Linked DNA regions of Nothobranchius furzeri. The main gene of each other region encodes a partner of the protein of the gene in region 2 in a complex. Links are inferred from orthologs where the notes say so. Each region holds a gene or a part of one and is shown on either strand. Other genes may lie near its edges.

What was found.
Region 1: strap (region 2) and gemin2 share a complex: the UniProt entries of both Homo sapiens proteins name them as parts of the SMN-Sm complex. The link is inferred for Nothobranchius furzeri from reciprocal best matches to the Homo sapiens genes STRAP and GEMIN2.

Annotation. Positions count from the first base shown.
Region 1 is NC_091758.1:40,478,113-40,489,006, forward strand, and holds gemin2 (gem-associated protein 2), read right to left. Parts: upstream 5,013-10,894; 5' UTR 4,892-5,012; coding exon 4,770-4,891; intron 4,693-4,769; coding exon 4,611-4,692; intron 4,513-4,610; coding exon 4,423-4,512; intron 4,317-4,422; coding exon 4,230-4,316; intron 4,072-4,229; coding exon 3,955-4,071; intron 3,713-3,954; coding exon 3,668-3,712; intron 3,597-3,667; coding exon 3,528-3,596; intron 1,379-3,527; coding exon 1,268-1,378; intron 1,185-1,267; coding exon 1,126-1,184; intron 1,028-1,125; coding exon 988-1,027; 3' UTR 867-987; downstream 1-866. Other genes in the region: mia2 (cTAGE family member 5), read left to right, coding at 10,704-10,894. UniProt on the Homo sapiens protein: The SMN complex catalyzes the assembly of small nuclear ribonucleoproteins (snRNPs), the building blocks of the spliceosome, and thereby plays an important role in the splicing of cellular pre-mRNAs.
Region 2 is NC_091741.1:63,713,564-63,724,589, reverse strand, and holds the start of strap (serine-threonine kinase receptor-associated protein), read right to left. Parts: upstream 6,659-11,026; 5' UTR 6,364-6,658; coding exon 6,252-6,363; intron 4,899-6,251; coding exon 4,763-4,898; intron 3,955-4,762; coding exon 3,873-3,954; intron 3,610-3,872; coding exon 3,537-3,609; intron 3,298-3,536; coding exon 3,198-3,297; intron 3,080-3,197; coding exon 2,942-3,079; intron 1-2,941. Other genes in the region: cog5 (conserved oligomeric Golgi complex subunit 5), read left to right, coding at 8,747-8,786. UniProt on the Homo sapiens protein: The SMN complex catalyzes the assembly of small nuclear ribonucleoproteins (snRNPs), the building blocks of the spliceosome, and thereby plays an important role in the splicing of cellular pre-mRNAs.

The DNA.
Region 1 (10,894 bases), on a different chromosome or scaffold from region 2:
GGAATGTGACAGCGGGACGTCCCGAAGGTCCGCTCACCTGCTCAGACGTCCTGATCTTCTACCTTCCTAGATCATCCAGCTGTAACCTGTTTCTGATCACGTCTTTAGTCCCGCTGTAACACTGATGCATCAGTCTGAGACGTCATGGAGCTCAGGTGTTATCAGAGCTACCTGTGTGTGTTTACCACCCAGCTTCAGCTCTTCTGTGGTTGGGTCTGACCCACGTTAGTAAATGTAAGTCCTCCATCAGGCTTGTGCCTCTTCTAGTGTCATTTTAAAGGATTTTTATTTAACCATTACTAATTAGCAGCAGCAGAAATGTTGCTAAAAATACGCAATTATGTTAAGCTGGAAAAATTAAAATACTGTGCAAAATTACATTTCTGTAATTTAACTAGACTGAGAGACCATGTAAAGGCTCAGGAACCTTTACAGGTGCTTCTATTTGCAATTATAAATGTTAGCTGATTAGGGTCTTGTTAAATATCGCAGTGATGTTTTAGTAGTCTGGATTAGTGTAATGTTCCTGTTTGTCGTTCCTCCTGTTAAGTGCTTAATTATTGTTTTATAGAAAACATTTTATGTTCCAGTCATTTATATTTCATTATTGTTGAAATTTATAGTAAATGAAGTTTAAGAGGGGAACCCATTTCTCTTGCATTCTTTAATGAAAAAAGGTAATGAAAGTTATTTTTGTTGGTAATTAGTTACTTTTATAATTTTTTAACTCAGTAAGTAACTTAGTTACTTTTTTGACAAAATAATTACTTTTTAAAAGTGACGTTCCCAACACAACACTGGTTTTCACTAGTTCCATGTTTCCTGCCATTCAGGATGCTTGTAAAACCACAAAAGCAAACCAAGAATAAGAATCATAAATTTAATCCACAAATACGAAGTTTCAGCTTTACAAAAATATCACACACACACTTCCTCATACGAGTCTTGCTGCCACGAGCCACATCCCCTGGTGGTTCGGCTTCGTGTTTACTCCGGCTGGTCTGCCAGATCACTCTGCTCAAAGTATCTGCAGGAAAAACGAGAGGTGGTGAGTCGCAGGATTTCAGGCTCTAACTTCAGCTGCATTGTTGATTTTATGGGTAATGTAGACATTATTGGAGTCACCTAGCAACCAGACAGATGAGTAGGTTGAGAGCAGGCAGATTCTCATTCTCCTGACAATCCTGTTGGAAGAATTTAATCATTACAGACGTCACAATAAAATACGCCGTCAGAATCCTGAAGGACACTCGGGTTTCCATCATACCAGAGTGCTGCGGAGCTGGGCGCACCGTCTAGCCAGCTGTCGGATGGAGGAGTGCGCTTCAGGCAGCAACGGTTTCTCTAAGCAGGCCAGTAAAGCGTACAACCAACAACCCTTTTGGGAAAAGCAGCGTTAGGAATTTCATAATCAGGAAAACCAGGAACCTCATTCATCAAACGTCGACAGAATCTCCTGTATTCCGTCCTAAGAATGATATTTGAAATGTTGGTTCACACGGACAATCTCCTGATTTATGAAGCACGGCCATACTCGTGTTCCCTGGCAACCCACTGTGGAGAAATCCCACGTGAATGGCCTGCAATTGACATAGCACCTTCTAGAGTTTTACAACCCCCCAAGGTGCTTTACAACACAACAGACATTCACTCGTGCACAGAAACATTCACACACTGATGGTGATGAGCTACATTGTAGCTACAGCTGCCCTGGGTCACACAGACAGAGGCAAGGCTGCCGTACGCTGGCGCCACTGGTGTCTCCATCACCACCCCACCCAGGTGCCCGTGTGTTCATTCACATACAGAAACGCCCTCAGTTAACCATATTTGGTCACAAGAACGAGCAACAAGTAACTTTAACGAGAGTGAGGACCAAACGTTGCTGTTAGGAACGCGTAGATAAGTAATACCTTCGGTTTTGTGATTTCTCGGTCCTGTTTGTACACAAGAACAGAGACGTTCTTGTACTTAGGAACATTTTTATGTCGCGTAGATAATCTACATACTAGAATTTAACGCGGTTTGCTATCAGCTTGGCTAAATGCTGAGAAAAATCAAACAAATTAGCAAATGAAACTTATGTATAAATATCCAGGATATTTATATAATCGATAGAAGTTCATACACCAACGGGCTTGGTCTATATTTAATCCAAAGATTAATATTTAATTTAAGAGATTTAAATTAATAGCAAAAGTTTATTTATTAAATCGGAATATTTAAAGGAATCTTTGCTCGTTCAATAACCAAATTTACACCATTCTGTGTTTCATTTCAAAGAAGAGTCAGGTTTAAAAAGTTAAGAATTTATAACGAACAATTTAAAGATGACAATTTATAACAGCTTTGATATTAAAACTTGGTATTAAAAGCAAACCTGTGTCTGGATGAAAGCTAAAATGAAATGCGTGTGTTGGATGTGTGACTGGAATCTCAGAAGGTTTCTTTCAGAGAGAAACGCGTTCTGGGTGAAAGAGTTTGTTTTGCAGCTAACTAAGTTGTTTCTTAGAGATGACAGCATCAGACGCAATCTGTGTTCTACCTCACCCATCAGGCGACCCTCTGTGTGGATCCGGAGGTCAAGGAAGGATGTTGTCAGCCTCTGGGTACTCGGTCCGGTAGGGAAGGCGCGAGTGGTACCGACTCTCTGGTCCAAGAGTTGCCGCTGGCACACAGGTGTTGAGTTTGCGTCTTAACTCTGAAGGAGTTTTGTGTCAGCTGGTGCAGGTGGCGTTTATTCGGAGCGATTCTATCAGCGTGACAGAACAGCTTAGTGGAGGCTTCGGGCGGCCGACCCTTGTCCTCTGGGACTCTCGTGCCACGGAGAGGTTTTGGTTGGTTCAGAACTGTCAGCTTGAACTGAGGAGTTTTGGGTTTTATTAAAACTCAGAACACGCCCTCTCAGAGATAGAAAGCTTTGGTTATGGAGCAAAGACATGTGAGGTGGTTACCTTTACCCTGAATTCAGTGTCCTGCATGGTGTGTATAAGTGTACATGACCTTCTTTACACTGGTAAACATTACTGATTATCATAAATAATAATTATTAACCAAAGAATAATAATTCATTTCAGTAATTAAATACATTTATAATGAACCGTGATGATTATTTATGAACCTTGTAATAAACAGTGAAAAGAGTTTATTAAAAATGATTATTTTAAATCTTGAAGTGTCCTTCATCTTAGGATGGAACAGCAGACAGATTAAAGGCAGTCAGATTAAAGATGGTTCTAGAAGACTGTGCGTCTCCTGTGATGGATAATCTGTGGACAGAAGTTCAGCCAGGACAGCGTGACCTAGCTGGGGAAGTGTGACCTTTGGGTCACAAATATGGCCATTCATGTCGCTACATGTATGCAGTGTGTAAAACTGTTCCTACGTGCAGATCTGTGCATAAGTTTGTTTGATGAATGAGGGCCCTGGAGTTCTAACAATTTATTTTCGTGCGAAAATTTAAAAAACTATATTTCCACTAGCATTAGATTTGTTGTCAACCAGCTGGAGACGAGAAGCAAACTCACCAGCTGTGGAACAAACTCTCGCTCTTCAAACCAGCTGATCAGAACATCTAACAACATGAGAACTGTGGACTGAGACAAAAATATTAAGACTGTTAAACTGGCTAAAAACAACATGGATGTCATCGTAGACCCCCGTTTACCTGGTTTAGTCTGCTTACGATGCTCAGGAAGGGAGGGAAGCCAATCTAGACCCAAACAAACCATCAGTGAGACTTCACTTCCTTGGTCTCATGAAGGTGCCACAGAATTTTCATGAGTGGCGGATCATCAAAGGATTAAATAAATACACTTTATCTGTTTAGATTGTTTGCTTTTGTGGGAGAAGTAGAATGTGGAAACATCTCAGCTTTGATCGATTTAAATCAGGTAAACTCATTCTGAGGAGTAAGCGCTCACAAAGGCAATAAGGTGTAAACAGTTGTATAACCTTGCCGTAGTCCAATGCTGGTTCTTGGTGTGCATCCGTCGGGCCGGATGAAGTTCCCTGATAAACGTTCTCCCCTAAACAAAACCTCTTCCAGCCCTCCTCATCGGTCAGCCTCGGCTGTAAGACACCAGCGTCAAGCTTGCATAAACCAAACCTCCAGTGTGATGCTGCATGACAAGATTCTTACAGGTGCTTCAAATCCACCTTAACATGGGATTTCTGTCTCCCCTTGAAAGAATGCTGATTTCGGTTTGAGTAGTGAATAAAAATCTCACCATCTGCACGTTGTCATCCAGAATTTGGCTCCTCCAGTGTTGCCTGTTCTTGGTGATGCTCTGAGAAACAAAAGTGACTAAAGGACACTGTCCAGTGTGGACATGTTCGTAACGTGTGTTACTGTGTGGACATGTTCGTAACGTGTGTTACTGTGTGGACATGTTCGTAACGTGTGTTACTGTGAAGTCTCACCTGTCTGACGTCAGAGAAGTTACTGACTTGCTGCTGTTGCCACCTGAGGCTGGGGGAGAAGCCCTGAGGAGCAGCATGACATCCTGCTACCTGGAACCAAAACATGTTAAACATGTGGTGTGTGTGTGTGTGTGTGTGTGTGTGTGTGTGTGTGTGTGTGTGTGTGTGTGTGTGTGTGTGTCACTTACCGACACATTAACAGTTTGCTTCTTCAGTTTTGTGGGATCGATCTGAGCAACGACCACCTCCGGGCATAAAGAGGCCTCCAACCTAATGAAACACCAAACTTATAAAGCTCCGTGGTCGAACATGGTTCTGATTCTCGAGACGGTTCGGCTCGAACATACTGGACCTGTCGGAGGTACTCCTGGGGGTTTCTGGGGGTTCCACTCAAGTCCAGGTTTCCGCTCCCGCCTCCGGTCTCCAGCGGCAGGAGCCTCGGCATTAACTCCTCCACGTCCGACTTCATGTTCTAATAAAGTAAAAGAACAGCGGAACCGAATCAGGTAATGAAAAACACGCAAGTTTCACTACAGCACAGTCGCCATCTTCTTCTTCTTCTGGTGTTTTATTGGCGGTTGGCGAACAACGAATGGTGCATTACCGCCACCAACTGGTGTGGAGTGTGGTCTGGAACAGCGCTCATAAAACAAAATCAAACACGGGAAAGAAAGAACAAAAAAATACATATATATACACACACATACATACACATATATATACAAATACATATATACATCAAATTCTCCCAAACATCCTTATCTCTTTTAAAAACTGAAATAAAATCAGAAAACAGTCGCTTTTTGAATTCTGTCGGTCTAGTTTCACTTTGATCTGTCTAAGATTTTGAATCAATGTCCTTCTTCCTGCCTGATACTTCCGACATTGTAATATAACATGAACTATAGTTTCTTCTTCTCCACAATAATCGCATTTCCCTGTATTATGTTTCCCCATCATGAATAACGTATTGTTTAACCCAGTATGTCCAAACCTCAGTCTAGAAATGATCACCGCCTCTCTCCTACTCCTTCCAGTGTTTCTTATTTCTCCTACTCTTCTTTGAATTTTATACAACCATCTTCCCCTCCTTTCCTCCTCCCATTGTTTTTGCCATTTTTTCTTCATTTCTCGCCTTTTTATGCTCTTCATCTCTTTCTGACAAAATCGAACATCTAACTGAACCGAAGTATTTATTGTAGCTTCCTTAGCCATCTTATCGACTCCTTCATTTCCACTGATTCCACAACGAGCTGGAATCCATAAAAAATGTACTTTAAGTCCCATCGTGTTTATTCTATAAAGTGTTTGCTGAATCTCTAGGAGTATGTCTGGTCTGCTTCCTGAATGGCTGCACGTTAAACTGGTTAATGATGAGCTGGAGTCTGAACAAATAACTGAGAATAATGGTCTGTTTTCTTCCACCCATCGAACTGCTAACAGGATTGCGAGAATCTGTATAAATTTTTACATAGTTATAATAGTGATCGATATAATCCTGTGCTGTATGTGAGTTTAGTATGAAAGACTTATCCATATTCTTTCTCTCTAATAATGATAAATCAACAGACGCCTCAGGAAGAATCCATGGCGGAACAGCAGGTAATGGAACTCTTTGACTGATTGTAAACCGATCTCATTTAAGTTCTACTGGTTTTTTGATCATCACCCATCCAAAACTTGTTGTTTCCTTCTTTTCTTTCTCCCAGCAAGGTTTTGGTATGTCTCGTGTTGGATGATCTTCTTCCTGACCCTGAAGATTTGCCCAATAATTTAAAGCTATTCGTTCTCGTCTGATTGCTATTGGCATCTCACCCGTCTCTACCTGTAACGCTGCTATTGGGGTTGTTTTAAATGCTCCAGTACAGAGTCTCTGTGCCTGATTCTGGATAGAATTTAATTTTGAAAGAGTAGTTTTTGCTGCTGAATTATATGCCACACACCCATAATCTAATACTGATCTGATCAATCCATTATATATGGCCTTCATAGATTTCCTGTCTGCACCCCATTCACTCCCAACTAAACACCTCATTATATTTAGAACCCTTTTACTCTTATCCATTATACTCTGAATATGTACACCCCAAGTTAACCTTTCATCAAACCATACACCCAAGAATTGAAATTTATGTACCCTTTCTAACTCTTGACTATATCATTCAAGTTTAAGATCCTCTCTTACTTTTTTCCTTGTAAAGAACATCGTCTTAGTTTTATCTACCGAGAATTTAAAACCCCATTTGTACGACCATTCCTCCACCTTGCCCATTGCTGCTTGAAGTTTCTTTACAATAAACTCTACGTTTTTCCCTCTATACCATACTGCCCCATCGTCTGCAAAAAGTGAAAACCCCATCCCATCTTTTATACCATTAAAAACATCATTTATCATTATAGAAAATAATAATGGGCTCACGATACTACCTTGCGGTGTACCATTTTTCACGGGAAACTTTTCAGACAAAATCTTCCCAATTCTCACTTGAATTTGTCGTCCCATTAAAAAGTTCTTGATCCATTTAAACATTCATCCATCAATACCCATTTGTTTGATCTTAATTAAAAGGCCTTCTCTCCACATTGTATCGTAAGCCTTTTCAATATCAAAAAAGACAACAACTACACTCTCTTTGTTTATTTGTGCCCTCCTAACTTCATGTTCCAAACACAAAACAGGATCCATCGTATTTCTTCCTTTTCTAAAACCACTCTGATAGTTAGACAAGTAACCCTTACTTTCAATGTAGTACAATAATCTTTCATTTATCATGCACTCCATTATCTTACAAATATTAGATGTTAACGCTATAGGTCTATAGTTTCCTGGATCGGTATTATCTTTTCCTGGTTTAGGTATGGGTACAACCACTGCTTCCTTCCAGCTTTGTGGCAATACCCCACCCTCCCAAACTCTATTACATAGTTCCAATAAAATTTCTTTAGCTTTAGTACTAAAATGGTGTATCATAATAGAACAAATCTGATCTTTTCCTGGTGCTGATACCTTGGATTTTTGTAAAACTCGATTTAATTCCGATTTTGTAAATAAAATATTTAACAAGTTATCAGTATCTTCATCCTGTTCCAATAACTCTATATGTTCCAGAGACGTATTTTCCCTGCCTCTTTGACCTTCTTCACTAACACTATCTAAACAATGAATTTTAACAAATGTCTTAGCTAACAAATTTGCCTTCTCTTCGTCTTTTACTGCTGTTACTTCACCATCGTTTAATATTGGATATCCATACTCTTTTCTTATGCCATTCATTCTCTTAATCATCGACCAAACATTTTGTAATTTTGTCTCCCTCCCCGCTGAATTACAAAAGCCCCTCCAATACTCTTTCTTTGCAATTTTAACAGTTCGTCTTACCTTAGCCTGTACTTTTTTGTATTCCATATAATTAACAAAACTTTGATTCCTCCTTAAATTTTTAAAAGCTTTACTTCGATCCTTAATAACTTCATCACAATCCGTTGTCCACCAGGGTACTATCTTCTTTCTTCTTTATTGCCTGATTTGCAGCCTTCAAAACTGCATTACAAACAGAAAAATTCAATGCTTCAACATCAACATTCATATCTATTTTTTCCATTTCCTGGTCACAAATAATTTTAAATTTTTCCCAATCTGCCTTACCAAAACACCAATTTTGTACAATTCCTGTATCACATTGTTCTATATTCATCTCAAGTTCAGTCAGTAAGGGATGATGGTCACTACCAATAGTTGTTTCTTTAATTACCCGCCATGAACAAAAACCTGCTAATGAATCTGACACTAATGTGAGGTCAATCGCCGATTCTGTACCAGCTCTAATATTTATTCTCGTACCACTTCCATCATTCAAACAAACATAATTTTTTGATTCCATCAGTTCCTCAATAACTGCCCCATTCCTGTCATTGCTATTGCCCCACAAGGAACTGTGTGCATTGAAGTCCCCACACCAAATAACTTTTCCCTCTAACTGTTCACCTATATTCAATATTCTGTTGCCTGGATTATAAAAATGGATTACTTTAATATTACAATCACTGGACCAGACTTCAATTACTATGTATTCTAGCTGAGATCCTACATGTACAGGTCTATACTGAGTTCCTTGTTTCACTAAAGTTATACACCCTCCACCGTTACCTTCCCTTCTGTCTCTACGGATACAATCATAACCTGCAATAACAAAATCTAAATTAGGTTTTAGCCATGTCTCCTGAAAACATACTATTTCTGGTTTTATTTTGCATTTATCGATAAATCCCTTAAATTCCTGTCCATTTGCAATCAAACTTCTGGCATTCCATTATAATCATGCTGTCCTGTCACCAGGACCTCCCGCTTTCCCTTCCTCCCCAAGTCTTTTAATGACATGTTCCCACGAAACGTCTTTAATGCCAAAAAACCTCTCTGCTCCTTTCACAATCATTTTTATTTTCTCTGTTTTGTGCTTCACTTGATCCGTACAGTTTATGACATACGCCGTAAACAAAATCATCTCCTCTGCTGTCAATCCTGCGTGAGGTTCCTGTATTTGCACAAAATCAGATGGCGACTTTGTTTGAACTTTTCTTTCCTCATCCTTTCCATTCTGAGCCCTTTTCAGAGCCTCTGCGTAGCTGATGTTATTATTTGTTCAACCCATCGACATGGCGAAGATTCGTTGCCACGGTAACGCACAGCCATAATCCAGGTCATGGTTGTCCCAGGGTTTCAAATGAAGGCACCTGGACATCCGAAGAGCTTTGTTAGCTCTGACTGGAATATGGGAGAGTCAAGTTTATAAATTAGCTGAGCAAGTCACCCCAAATCATCTTTTTTTTTTTTTTTTTTTGCTGATAAACCAAATAAATGAGTGTTTAATCGTGCTGCAGACACGTGTAGCCAATAATTTGGCACTTTAGTGCATCTTAGTCAAAATGTTAATATTCTGCCTAAAACTGACAGTGTTGTGCCGTCTTCATGTAAAAACTCTGCACTGCATTTGAATTTACATCTGCCATTGCTATTGGCTAAGGGATACACGTGAAGTTAGCTGGTACATTATGATGTCACAATGTTGTTGTGGGCCTGAGTGTGCGTGTGTTTGTTAGCGGCACCGCCCTGTTGGCCTGCCAGGCGACAGCATTTGTTGCATTTTTCAAACAGGAAGTGGGAGAGGAGTAAGACTCTGGTAGGGGTGACTTGCTCCTTAACGAGCAGAAACTACCCATGAATACCCTCCTTCCTACCCCACCATGGAGTCGTTGATCTCTATAGCCAGGTATACAATGTGCGACTTTTTCACTCGTAGCATTCAGCTCCAACTCAAACTGTACGACTTCCTGCGACCTGACTGCTCACGCTACGTCTGGTAGCAACATGTCGGACCTTCAAGTACAATAAACCAGAGGACCGGGAGGCTATTGTGTTGTTATCGATGTCTGTTGGACTTCGGGCTTGCCGTAGAAGGACACACAGAGAGTTATGAGGGTTGGAGGAGAAATACAAAAAAAAAAAAGAAAGTAAAGCAATGTTTTGGGGTTTAAAAAGCAGCTGAAAGCTCACTTGTTCAAGTTAACTTTTGCATGACTTTCATCACCAACCTCTCCTTGTTCTGCTCTTTCTCCCGGGGTCCACTGATTTCCCTCTTTCCTATTCATTTTCTCTCTCCCCTTCCCTATTTTTAATCACAATTTTTTTCTCAGTTTAAATATATTTTTTTAATTTTTTAATAAATCGTTTTTATATTTGAATTTTTTGTTCTGTGAAGCACCTCGTGATTTTTATCTTGAGAGGCGCTAAATAAAATTGTTTTCCTTCTTTCTTTCTTTATTAAAATGGGAATTACAAAGAGGTCCGATTGTTGATTAAATGTTTTAAAGGTTTGCCACAGTTTTCATTTTGGTTAGTATGTTATGGATATCCGGGATGTTTATTTTTACCAGAAACAATAGATTTGTAGAAATCCAGAATACATATCCAGCCTGTCTTAATATATGTCTAAACGGCTTGCCAAGTGGTACATGTCCTGCAGTGACTTCATAAGCATGATCCATTTTTGGTATCCACATTTTTAGGCACCAACAAGCCTGTCAAAGTTCTAAGTCCACAGAGATGTTCTACCTTTCGTCCACAAAAACCAAATTTTTTCTTTCTAAATGCAGCCAAATGTGACTTTTAGAATTTTCTGAGTGACGCTTTAGAGTGAAACCCGAACCTTTGACCAGCGAGCAGATACAAGCAGGATGTTAATGATTATCTGCACGCTGGACGTGTATCTTATCTCTGCCGTCTCATGCTGTTGGGTTTCATGACAGCAGCGGCAGCACAAAGGCAATGTCCACTCGCCAGCACGGCTCTCTATTCTTGCCTTTTCATGGACAGTTTCTCTCTCACCACTCCTGTTAAAACACCCAAAATGGGTGTTTCACTTGCTGATCAGTTTGTGTGGGTTACGGTCGTAGTTTGTCTGTTTGTGCCTCGCTT
Region 2 (11,026 bases):
GTGAGGTTAGTATGGTATTCTGAGGTGTGGAAACAGAAGATCAAAGACTTATTAGAGACATATTTTTACAGTAATTTGACCCTTCAGAGAATTCTTAACATTTCTCTGATGTTGGTGGTAAATACTGATGTGTTCGCAGTTAAAAGATCCTTTTTTAAAAGACATAGTCATGGATGTTTAGTTTCCATTGTGTGCGTGTATTTAGTGTTTCACAGTAGAGGTCGACCAATGTGGGTTTCTCTATTGCCATTACCGATATGTAGAGGTCATGGTCAGTCGACGGCCGATATCTAGACACTTCCCACCTTATTTTCATGCTAAAATGTCACCAATAACATCAGTTAATGCATAAAATTTCTGCAGCTGAATCAGTTCTTGAACACTGAATTTAACCAACTGTTAAATCTTGAATTTGTGCACCACTCAGTGTTAAAATCAGACATCTAACTAAAGTTAAACAAATCAATTACCTGGCCAAGTATTAAATATTCAAACTGGTGAATAAAAAAAAGTTGAGATGAAAATACTTTTTTTAATGCCACCTGTTACAGACAGACATCTTTAGCTTGCTGTCCACCTTATGTGCACGCTGACAGCGAGCAGCACTGAGCAGCGTCCAGTAGAATGCTCAGATGTTCTGATGTTCTTTTTCTTCCGGTTCTCGGAGGGTGCAGACGCTTTTTTCCTCCTCTCCTCCATATCTTATCCTCAAGGCCCTTTGTCTCTGTGTGCACGGCTGCTTCTGCATTTTTTCTGGAAACTGAAATCACTAAAATGGACCTCGTCACTTGGTCTCTCAACGCGATTGATAAAGTTTGTTCAACGATGAGAACGGGAGAAGGGGCTCCCGGATGCCCCTCCAGGACAGACCCAGTTGGACACGTCATGGACTCCTGGAAACAGTGGAACTTGATTTGTTTATCTCAGCTGTCTGTGGAGGACTCTGATACGTGTGGATATTCGTGGTGTTGGTGTCAGGTTTCCTGCTCATTGGCCTTGGAGGCTACCTGGCTTACCGGAAAATTAACGAGCTGTCGAGGAATACTGGCCTGCTCCCGGAGCTTAGAGATGGTTTGCACCACGCTGTGAATTCATAGACTCACATAATTGTCGAGATGAATCACAAGCTTGGAACTTTGGCCGAGATTCATTCATTGGCACAAAAGATGGATGCCATCAAGGATAGAGTGGACAAATCAGCACGGATTGGGATAGATTAATGTCCATTATTGGGATTTTGAGAGGTTGAGGACCAACAAACTGTAAGACAGAGAGAGAGAGAGGAAATTCTCTCTGTCTGGCCCCAAAACAATTTCTAATCGGAATATGGTGCCCTTGAGCCTGCAAGGCTCCAACGAAAACTCCCCCCTCAGAAGATATGTGGAATGTGCCGTCGCTATGACAACTCAACTCTGTCTCCTATCCCAGCCTGGGCGGGACTGCGGGAAGGCCGTCGAATCGTTCCAGGGTCACTGCGACCCTCCAACCCTCAATGCTCCTCCCCCTGTTCACACTGAGGTGACATGCGCTGCTTGTAGTGGCTGCAGGAACTGAAGTGTGGATAGTCCCAAACCCACCACCCCACCTAGTGGACTTATGCTGTGTGATGTCTGAAGTCTGTTGCATTTCTGTCTGAGGTGTTTTTTTTTGCAGAGCAAAGCTGCCCTCCCGGTGGAGTGTAGGTCTGAAGTGCCTTTTTTCCCTCCACCTGAACCAATCCTCATGTAACCCTCTGATCTCTATTAAGGTAGCGTGACTCAGGGTTGCGAATGACCAGTCACCAATTCTTGTCATGTGTCTTGCCCATGCATGTCTGATCTCTGAATTGTGTGTACTGAAACTCTAATTTCCCTCTGGGATTAATAAAGTATCTTTGAATTGATGGGAATCTTTTCTTAATCGATTTAGCTACCTCGGCAATGTGCTTAATGATTAAAATGTCAGTGCATCTGCACGTGTCCTTCAAAGCGACCAACAGCCTTGAGGTTTCTCCATTAAAATAAACTGTCAAATATGGGAAATATCCGGTCAATGTGAACGCTGCCATTTAACTGTTTTGCCTTATTGCGACGATTGTTGCAAAGAGAAACAAATAAACTTGATTAACACCAGAGTCTTGTGCACTGTGCCGTTACCTCCTTCACTGTAAGTGAGGGGAAAAAAACCGAATTGATCAGATCCTTTTCAACATTGTTTAATATAAAGTTTCGTTCAGTACAAAGTTTAATTACAACAATCCAAAGGGACAGAGCCTGGATTTGTATTCTGAGCAGTTTAAACATGTTTTAAAAGGAGACATGTTTGACCTGCTTAGGCCCGATAGGCACGCCCACAATGCCACGGCCGCTGTGGCTCCCAGTGTTTTCTTTATTGTGGGAAACAAGTAATAATGGCTCTTTGATTGGAAAAGGTTGCCGACCCCTGATCTACTCAAAAGACCAAGATTCCTTGTGAATAGAACATGCGCAGAGCGCACCTTTTGAAAGGGTTATCCCGATATGAGTTTACATGACCTGATATTTGGGTTAGAAAAGGGTTACCTCAGGGGTAATAACCTGGCTTTTGTAAGACCTTTGTCACCACCCTCTCCTTATTCTGCTCTAATTTTGCCTTTCCCGCGATCCACTGATTTACCTCTTTCCTATTGATTTTCTCTCTCTCCCTTTTCTTACATTTCTTTTTTTAATCACAATTTTTTTTCTCATTTTAAACATTTTTTGAATCATTTTTTAAAATATTTTTTATACTTAACACTTAAATTTTTTGTGTGTTTTTGTGAAGCTTTTCACGATTTTTATCTTGAGAGGCACTGTATAACAGATTGTTTTCTTACTTTCTTTCTAAATTGGCTTTACTAAGAAGGTATATTGCTTGATGCTGATGTATTACAAATGGTAAATATTGACCCAATACATCAGTCAACCTCTATCTGACTGCATACCTCAAAGCATTGTAAAAAGCTATCGTCTTCCCATAGGTGATCACGAGCAACTCCCCATCAGCCATGTACTCCATGCTGCTCACAGACGTCTCAAAGGTCAGCATCTTCACCTCCTGCATGGAGCTCCTGTCCCACAGCCTGGGCACACACACAGAGTTTATATGATCCAAACTGTCAGAAGGTCAACATGAACAACTGCCACCAAAGCGGGACAAAGAAATCAGATTTCTACAAAGCATCCAGGAGAAAAACTAACCGAATGGTTTTGTCGTCAGCAGCAGAAAGGATCTGCTTGTCATTGTTACACCACAGAGCTTTCTTTATGGCTGCACTGTGACCTGCAATCTCCTGTGAAGCTGGAACAAACACACAAGTGTTAAAGGAAAAAGTGTTGGCTCACATCTAGTATTCTTTTGGTGTGCGTGTGTGTGTGTGACTGAGTGGGTGGGTAAGTAACTCCACTAATGTTTATGATTAGTGTAAACCATATTTCTTTAATTAAAACCCATAGTAACTCTAAACACAGCAATCTGATGTCTATGACCTGTTCAGAAGTGTTTGGCCCCGCCTTCTAGCCAGCAGTGTGTAGCCTTACGTGCTTCAGGTTGGCTGAGGTCATAAATACGCAGCAGCTTGTCATTTCCTGCTGTTAGCAAACAGTTGCTGTCCTGTGGAATAGAAAAAGAAACCCACAAGTGTTTTATTTTGTAAGGATGTGAACAATGATTAGCTGAGGAGATGTGTTTAATCAATCATCAGATTAATCCATGTGTTGAACAAATTATTCACTTGGTAACTAAAAATAGGTGTGAGCCCTGGAGGCTCCCACTTTTTGATCTTGGTGTTGGTGTACAAAGGCATCTGTGAAAAAAATGAGCAGTAAAATACCTGAATTAACATATGAAGGATGCTGATGCTAAGCAAAACTGACCTGAGTGAAGTTGACAGACTTCACAATGTGCTTGTGTGCCAGTGAGAGGACCTCGTCTCCACTTACGGCATCCCACACCTTCCTGGAAAGCAAAATGTTCACCATTATAGATTTATAGTAGCCTGGCAAGCCATCCTATATGCACAATTATTTTGCTTCGACAAATGACTGTCTTCTAGATTCTAGGCTAGATGTATAGTAGTTTATCGAATAAATGAAACTAAACATTTAATAGAAAACACGTAACAGAAACAAAGAAAGGTTGGTTTTCTTTTTTTTTAAAACACATGCAAAACAGATCGTTTTTCTTCACCAGGACTTTGAGGATGCTGCTGGTGGGAATTTTAGCATGATTTAAACACGTTTTTTTTTTTTCCTGAAATGTTAAAATTAAGAGTTACTCTGAAAACAAGATCATTTTTATGACACAAGGTGAGATCTTGCATGGAGCCCAAGGTTGAGGGAGATTGTGAGTGATCTTGTATTTTTTTTTTCATTTTGTAACAGTTGATCTTCTTTCACCTAGGTGCACCACTTGCACCAAGTGACTTGCTGTATTTTTCTGTTTTGAGGTTTCTAAGATAACACATAAAGAACAAGAAAAAAGTTAAGAAGCTATGATTTGTCTGGTAAATGGGATAGTGAAATTCTTTTTCAGTGGTTCAGTTTACTTCCTTTTTGAAATATGTATGTCCAACAATCTCAATGAGTCCAAACGCACATTTGCAGAGTGTGTGAGTGAAGGGGAGTAGAAAGAGAATATATTATTAATAAAAGACAACTTGTTTTTACAGCTAAACGTTTTAAGAGTGTTAAAAACAAGAAAAAAGTGCATTTTCCAACAAAATTCAAATCATGCATCTCTACATCGAGAGCTGAACCCCACTCACGCTGTGAAGTCTGCAGCAGCTGTGGCTGCCTTGGTGGCGTCTGTATTCAGAGTGGCTCCCCAAACCGCACCTTTGTGACCCAGAAACGTTCCGATCCAGTCCCCTGTGTCTCCCTGGCGCAACATGGGCTTGCCATCTAACAAAAGGAAGAAGGGGATGGTGATGTACTTGTTAAAACTCCCATGAAAAGATCATTAATATGAACTTTCTCAAGACATTGAGTGGCTTTCAAGCAGCTGGTGTAAAATGTTAAAAATCAGTTTTGTATTAATCTGAGCTGAGAAACTGGGTGTTTCTCAAGGTCAAGGAACCTCGCCTTGATGCCTTGGTCCCAGCCCAGTTGCCTAAGAGATACGTCATCAGGAACCGCCAAGACGTGTTCCAATGTTCATGTGCTACAGAGGCGTCTGTCCTTCGTTTGTCCGCCGTTTAGCTAACTGACTGAGAATACATGGGAGGTGTCTTGTTGCCTTCTCTGACTGAAACATTTCTCAGAATACACCACAGTATTTTCAAATGAATGGCGGATCAGGAGCCGGCAGCTACTTCAGGGGCAAATTTCCAGTTTAAATGCAAGTCAACTAATTGTAGCTATCAGGCTGATATCTGAAATATTTTTTTAGATTCAAAGCAATTATCTATGGTTGGTCAGTTGCTTTGCAGTTGCAGATTCGGTGGCAAGCGGGTAGTAACTTGCTTACATATTTAATTTAACCAATATATACATAATTTAAAAAAGTTAAAGGCTAGTTATACATATATATAAATCTAACTTTACCTCACATGTCACATGACGTGATGGCGGGTCACGTGAGATAAGTCTGTTCCATGTAACCGTTTTCTTTAATCCTTGCAGGACAGTGTCCTCTTAAGCACTGAGAAACAGCCACTGCCTTAAATTATATAGAATGTGTAAAGAGGACCAAACTCAACAAATGTTAAAGCTGCTAGCAGAGGCTTATTAGGGGCACCATGGTAACCATCAGTAGCTTATTACTTTCGCCATGGTATTCACCTTCCCGTTTCCCTCACTCCCTGACAGAACACTTGGTGAGGGTCATATGGCTATTCTGACAGAAAGGGAAGCCTAAGACGAATGGTGATGATTTTACTGTTTTTTTTTTTTTTTTTTTGTAATGGAAGAGAATTTTTCAGGTAAAAATTATCTCCACTTTTTGCTTGGAAACAAGTAGGTGAACACAGAGGAAAACTCCTACACGATGACAAATTTGTATTTATATAAAGTTGTGAAAGAAATGTGATTCTTCAAAGAATGAAACCAGATCGTGAACTGAACACATCTGAGGTGATTCAAGTAATGCAGATAGGATTTTCATAAAAAAAGACATCTGAAATAAATCGTTACAAAGTTTCTTTTGAGGCGCAGGTAAGTCAGGGACCAAAGTGAGAGAAGTCTGTGTGAGTGAGACAGGTAAATGAAGATCCTGAGCAGGGCAGCACCTTGGATTTGGACGGCTTGAGGACTCACCTTTGCAGGCGCTGATGAGGAAGTAGCCAAAAGGAGTGATTCCACTGAAAGCCAGGTCCACCACAGGCCGGGTGTGACCGGAGCAGGTGAGAGGGGTCTGTCTCATCGCCATGCTCCTCCAGCTGGACAGAGGACAGAAGACCGAAAGAGGAAGAGTTAGCTGGTCGCTAACGGCTGGCTTACAAGCTAGGTCGGCTAACCAGTAGCCGAGGAATACGAAACGTCTAATTGGCGCGTTGTTATCAAAGCTGTAACGTCCTGCCGTTGTCTGTTAATTAATCTTTTAACAGCCGAGAATTCAAAGTTATTCTGACCAAATGTCGGCTCTCCCCCAGCAAAAGAATGGCTGTCGTGCTAATAGCTACAACATTGCAACTAACTAGCAACGTGCACTGCAGCGTCACAGTGACAGTGTAGTAAAAGAGTTGACGTAACGTAAGCGTGCGGTGCGACCCGTCGCCGCCATATTGTCAGAGTCATTTGGTAAAGCGCACACAGCTGAAAGCTGAGTCTGATTAAAAGTTCTCGACAGAGATACAACATTCCCGTTCTTCTGGCGAACATATATGACTGTGCGAAGGAGTGGGAGCTGTTTGAGCTGTAGTCTGGAAAACTGGGATTTAAAATTGGAATATTGCAGGAATGAATTGTGCTGCTTTGGAATGAAATAAAGTGGCAGGAAAAATAAAGTTTAGACACAGCAGTATTAGAATATGCATTAATGTAGTCAGTAATAATAATAATAATAATAATAATAATTATTATTATTATTATTATTATTATTAGTTCTCAAAATACATATATCATATTTTCCCGGTATTATAAACAGTCTGATCAGTTTTTCATATTCCCCATTTCATTTTTTTTCTACAGTAGGACTAGCCTGGCCTGCCAGACTCTGTGCAGAATTAAACAGAGGAGGAGTATGGCAGGCCAGGCTACAGTAGAAAACCATGAAGTCAGAGACCCATAATAAGCTTGTTGGATCCAGATTTTACACTTTAAATACAAAATAACCCAGTCTGGTTCTAATCCACCTACTACATTATATCAGGTATTTATTCAGTCTGCTGTTTATGTCTCAAAAACTTTAATTTCAAGGATCAGTGTATGTGACAGTGTGAGTGTCCTGTCACAGTGTCACGATTGATCATGTGCCCTGGCTACTTGACATAGGGGATGTCCTTTTGGCTGACTGGTATGAGTGCGTGACTCTCACCCAGGAGCCTGGGGATCAAATCCCGCCCGGGCCCTCATTTCTCCACCCTGCCACATTTATAACATTGTCTGTGGAGGTAAAAATAGCAATATTCTGTACTGTAGAAATAGAAACACGTATGGATTAATCATCAAATGATTTACATCCTGGTGTCTTCAGGGCAGTGCTCTCTCAATCTCTGGTCCTGGAGCTCTTCCATCCAGCATGTTTTAGTTGTTTCCCTGCTCCAGCACACCTGATTTGATGGCTGATACCAGTTCAGAAGACCATCAAGCCTCTAAGCAGGTCATGTGTATTAATTAATTTAGTTCAAATAGATAAATACAATAAAGTTGTTTCTGCATTAATCTGGCCTTGGAGAAGAGTATAGCACCTATGGGTCTGGCAGAATAAAACAGATGTTCTTCACCGACTTTCAGGTGTGAGAACGGAGAATGCCAGAGTCTGTGAAAATCCCTCCCCAGATGTGTGTGTGTTTATTTATGTGTTTAATAAATATTAGCTTATCTCTCAAGAGTAGTTTTTTTGGGGGGGGGGGGGGGGGGGGGGGGTTCCCACTCGGTGCTAGTATCCCTAGTTCAAAAGTGAGTGTCTCTAAGAGTTACATTGCAATATCCGGACTGTTTTACAAGTGTCCAACAGAAACATGCAATCGCCACACAGTGAAACAATAAAAACACGCTGGATATCGAGGACAAGAGTTGAAGAGCACTGCTTTATGACCTTAAAAAAGTGCTATGTAGCCTACTATCCAGTTTAATAACTTAAACTAGTTTCTGTTTATTTTGATGGGAAGAAAAGGGATTAAATCAAATGGTATGGCCTGTATTTGATATAGCGCCTTCTAGAGCCCTGGAACCCCCCAAGGCGCTTTACAACACAATCAGTCATTCACAGAGGTAGCCATATATATATTCCTTCTAAAATAAGATAAAATAAACAAATGAAATTTAAACCCTAAATCCTGAATTAGATTTAAAAAAATCAAATAATTATCTATAAATCCAAAGATAGAACACATCCACAATTAAACCTATAAGCTTTTAGGGTCCTACCCTACAATTGTAAATTTTTTCTTTTACCAAATGTAGAAGGAGGGTGAGTGTTGATTTTTGCTTTCTATCAGAAAATTTGGATCCCAGAGCTGGTGGTAGCGCATCCCTGTGATCTGCGTGTAATCGGTGCCCGGATGTTGTGGCAGCAGTTCACACTCCGCCCTCTGAGCGGCGAAAGAGCTCCAATTTCACCAGAAGAAGTCTGATCAGGAAGTGCCAACATGGAGGAACAAGAGGCGTCCACAAACCTGCTAAAAGATGGTAAAATACGTTTTTTCAGCAGTAACTGACTCACTTAAAAACAAATGTTGCACCTATGCTTCAGTGTTTAGTTTACGTTGAGTTGCTACACGTTTAAACCTCCTTCATGTCACCATTACGACGTGTTTCACGATTCAGGGATTTGTTTTTGAAGCAGCACCGTGGAGCAGCGAACATGGAGGGTTTCTGTCATCTTTGCTTTTTAAAGTCAGACATGTTCAGTAAATTTACAACAGGAAGTAGAACGGGCGAAATAACCAGCACGTGTGTGGTTTAATTAAACCTATCTGTGTGAACAATGAGAACATGTTACCAAACAGGCTGCTACATGTTGATGTTGAGTTTAGTCCTCATTGGTGGTGTCCAGTTCTGGTCTTCAGGTCTGCTAGAGCAAGTCACCCCCAAATCAACTGTTTGTTGCTGATAAACTATATAAATGAGTGTCTAATCATGCTATAGACACGAGTGATCAATATTTTGGCACTTTAGTGCCTCTAAGTTAAAATTTAAATATTCTGCCTAAAAATGTGAAATTCTGCCTAAAACTGGGTGTTGTGCAAACTCTGCACTACATTTGAATTTAAATCTCCCATCACTATTGGCTAAGAGGTACACAATGACGTTAGCTAGTACATTGGGCTGGGAAATAAATCAAAAATTTATTGTTATCAAAATTTCTGACTTATCGTGATAATTTTTCCTATGTCAATAAATTTGATAATAAAAAAATGTGTGTAGGTTGGCAGCGTTCATGTCCCTTTAAAGGGCAAGTCACCCCCCAAACCAAGTTTTTTTCTGATAAACTATATGAATGCGTGTCTAATCATGCTGCAGACACGTGTAGTCAATAGTTTAGCACTTTAGTGCATTTTAGTTACAATTACAATTTTCTGCCTAAAACTGTCAGTGTTGTGCCATTGTCAGGTAAAAACTGCACTGCGTTTGAATTTAAATATGCCATCGCTATTGGCTAAGACGTACCCTAGAATGTTAGCTAGTACCATATGATGTCACAATGTCGTTGTGAGCCTGTGTATGTGTGTGTGTGTATTTGTTAGCGACTCTGCCCTCTCGGTCTGCTAGGCAACAGCATTTTGTTGCATTTTTCAAACAGGAAGTGGGAGTGGAGTAATACTCTGGTGGGGGTGACTTGTGCTTTAAGAAGCTCTACTGCCTTGAGTCAGTAAAATGTGACCCAACTAATACATGTGACAGCCCCATCTAGTGGACAACTTTTGTTTCTGCGCATTCCTGTAGTTATCGTCCATTTATCGTTATTGAGGTGAAATCCTCAATATATCGTATTAATTTTAGGCCATATCGCCCAGCCCTAGTACATTATGATGTCACAATGCTGTTGTGTGCCTGTTTGTGTGTATTTGTTAGTGGCTCCGCCCTCTCTGTCTGCCAGGCAACAGCATTTGTTGCATTTTTCAGACATGAAGTGGGATTGAAGTAAGTTTCTTGTAGGGAGTGACTCGTTCTTTAAGCTCTATTTGACAGTTTAACACAGCACCTTAAAGCCTCCTTCTGGAGTATTTCTCTTATCCAATGGCACCATCTAGTGGCCGACAAGCGTATCACACAAAAACGCTGTTCTGTTTAAGACGGCGACTTCACCTTTCTGTTTATAAATGTGCTTCTGTAGCTGACAAACAGAGCTAAAACACGTTGCTTTACGAGTATTATTCTCATGTTATGCTGTGTTTTCATATTTTTATATTTTAGAGACTTTCTTGTCCGTGAAAAGTTAATCAATGCTGCATCAGCCGAGGTATTCCTTAAATTTGAAGCGTCTATAAACGGTAGTCTAACGCTATTGGTTAGTTCTGGTCGGCGCTCAGTTTCCTATTGCACGTGTTATGTCCCTGACAGGAGGTGTTAAAATGTGAAGGAGGGGGCAACATAAATGCGACAGTGGCGTTAAAATGGGTTTAATTGTTATAAAAGGTTCTAAAACAAGTGCAAACAGATGGCGAGCATTATTAAGATAATGCAAAACAACAACAAAAAACTCTAAAAGGTTAACATTAAAAGAGCAGTTACCAACGTTAAAAACACCTGGTTAAAACTTATGAAAAGTTTAACCAAAACAGAAGGTGTTTCAAAATCCACAAAGTTGATAAAAGTTCTAAAACAATCTATTGACATACAACACCTGGTTAAAACTTATGTTAAAAGTTTTACCGGAACAGAAGGTGTTTTAAAACCAAAGTCAATAAAACTGCATCACAGAGTTG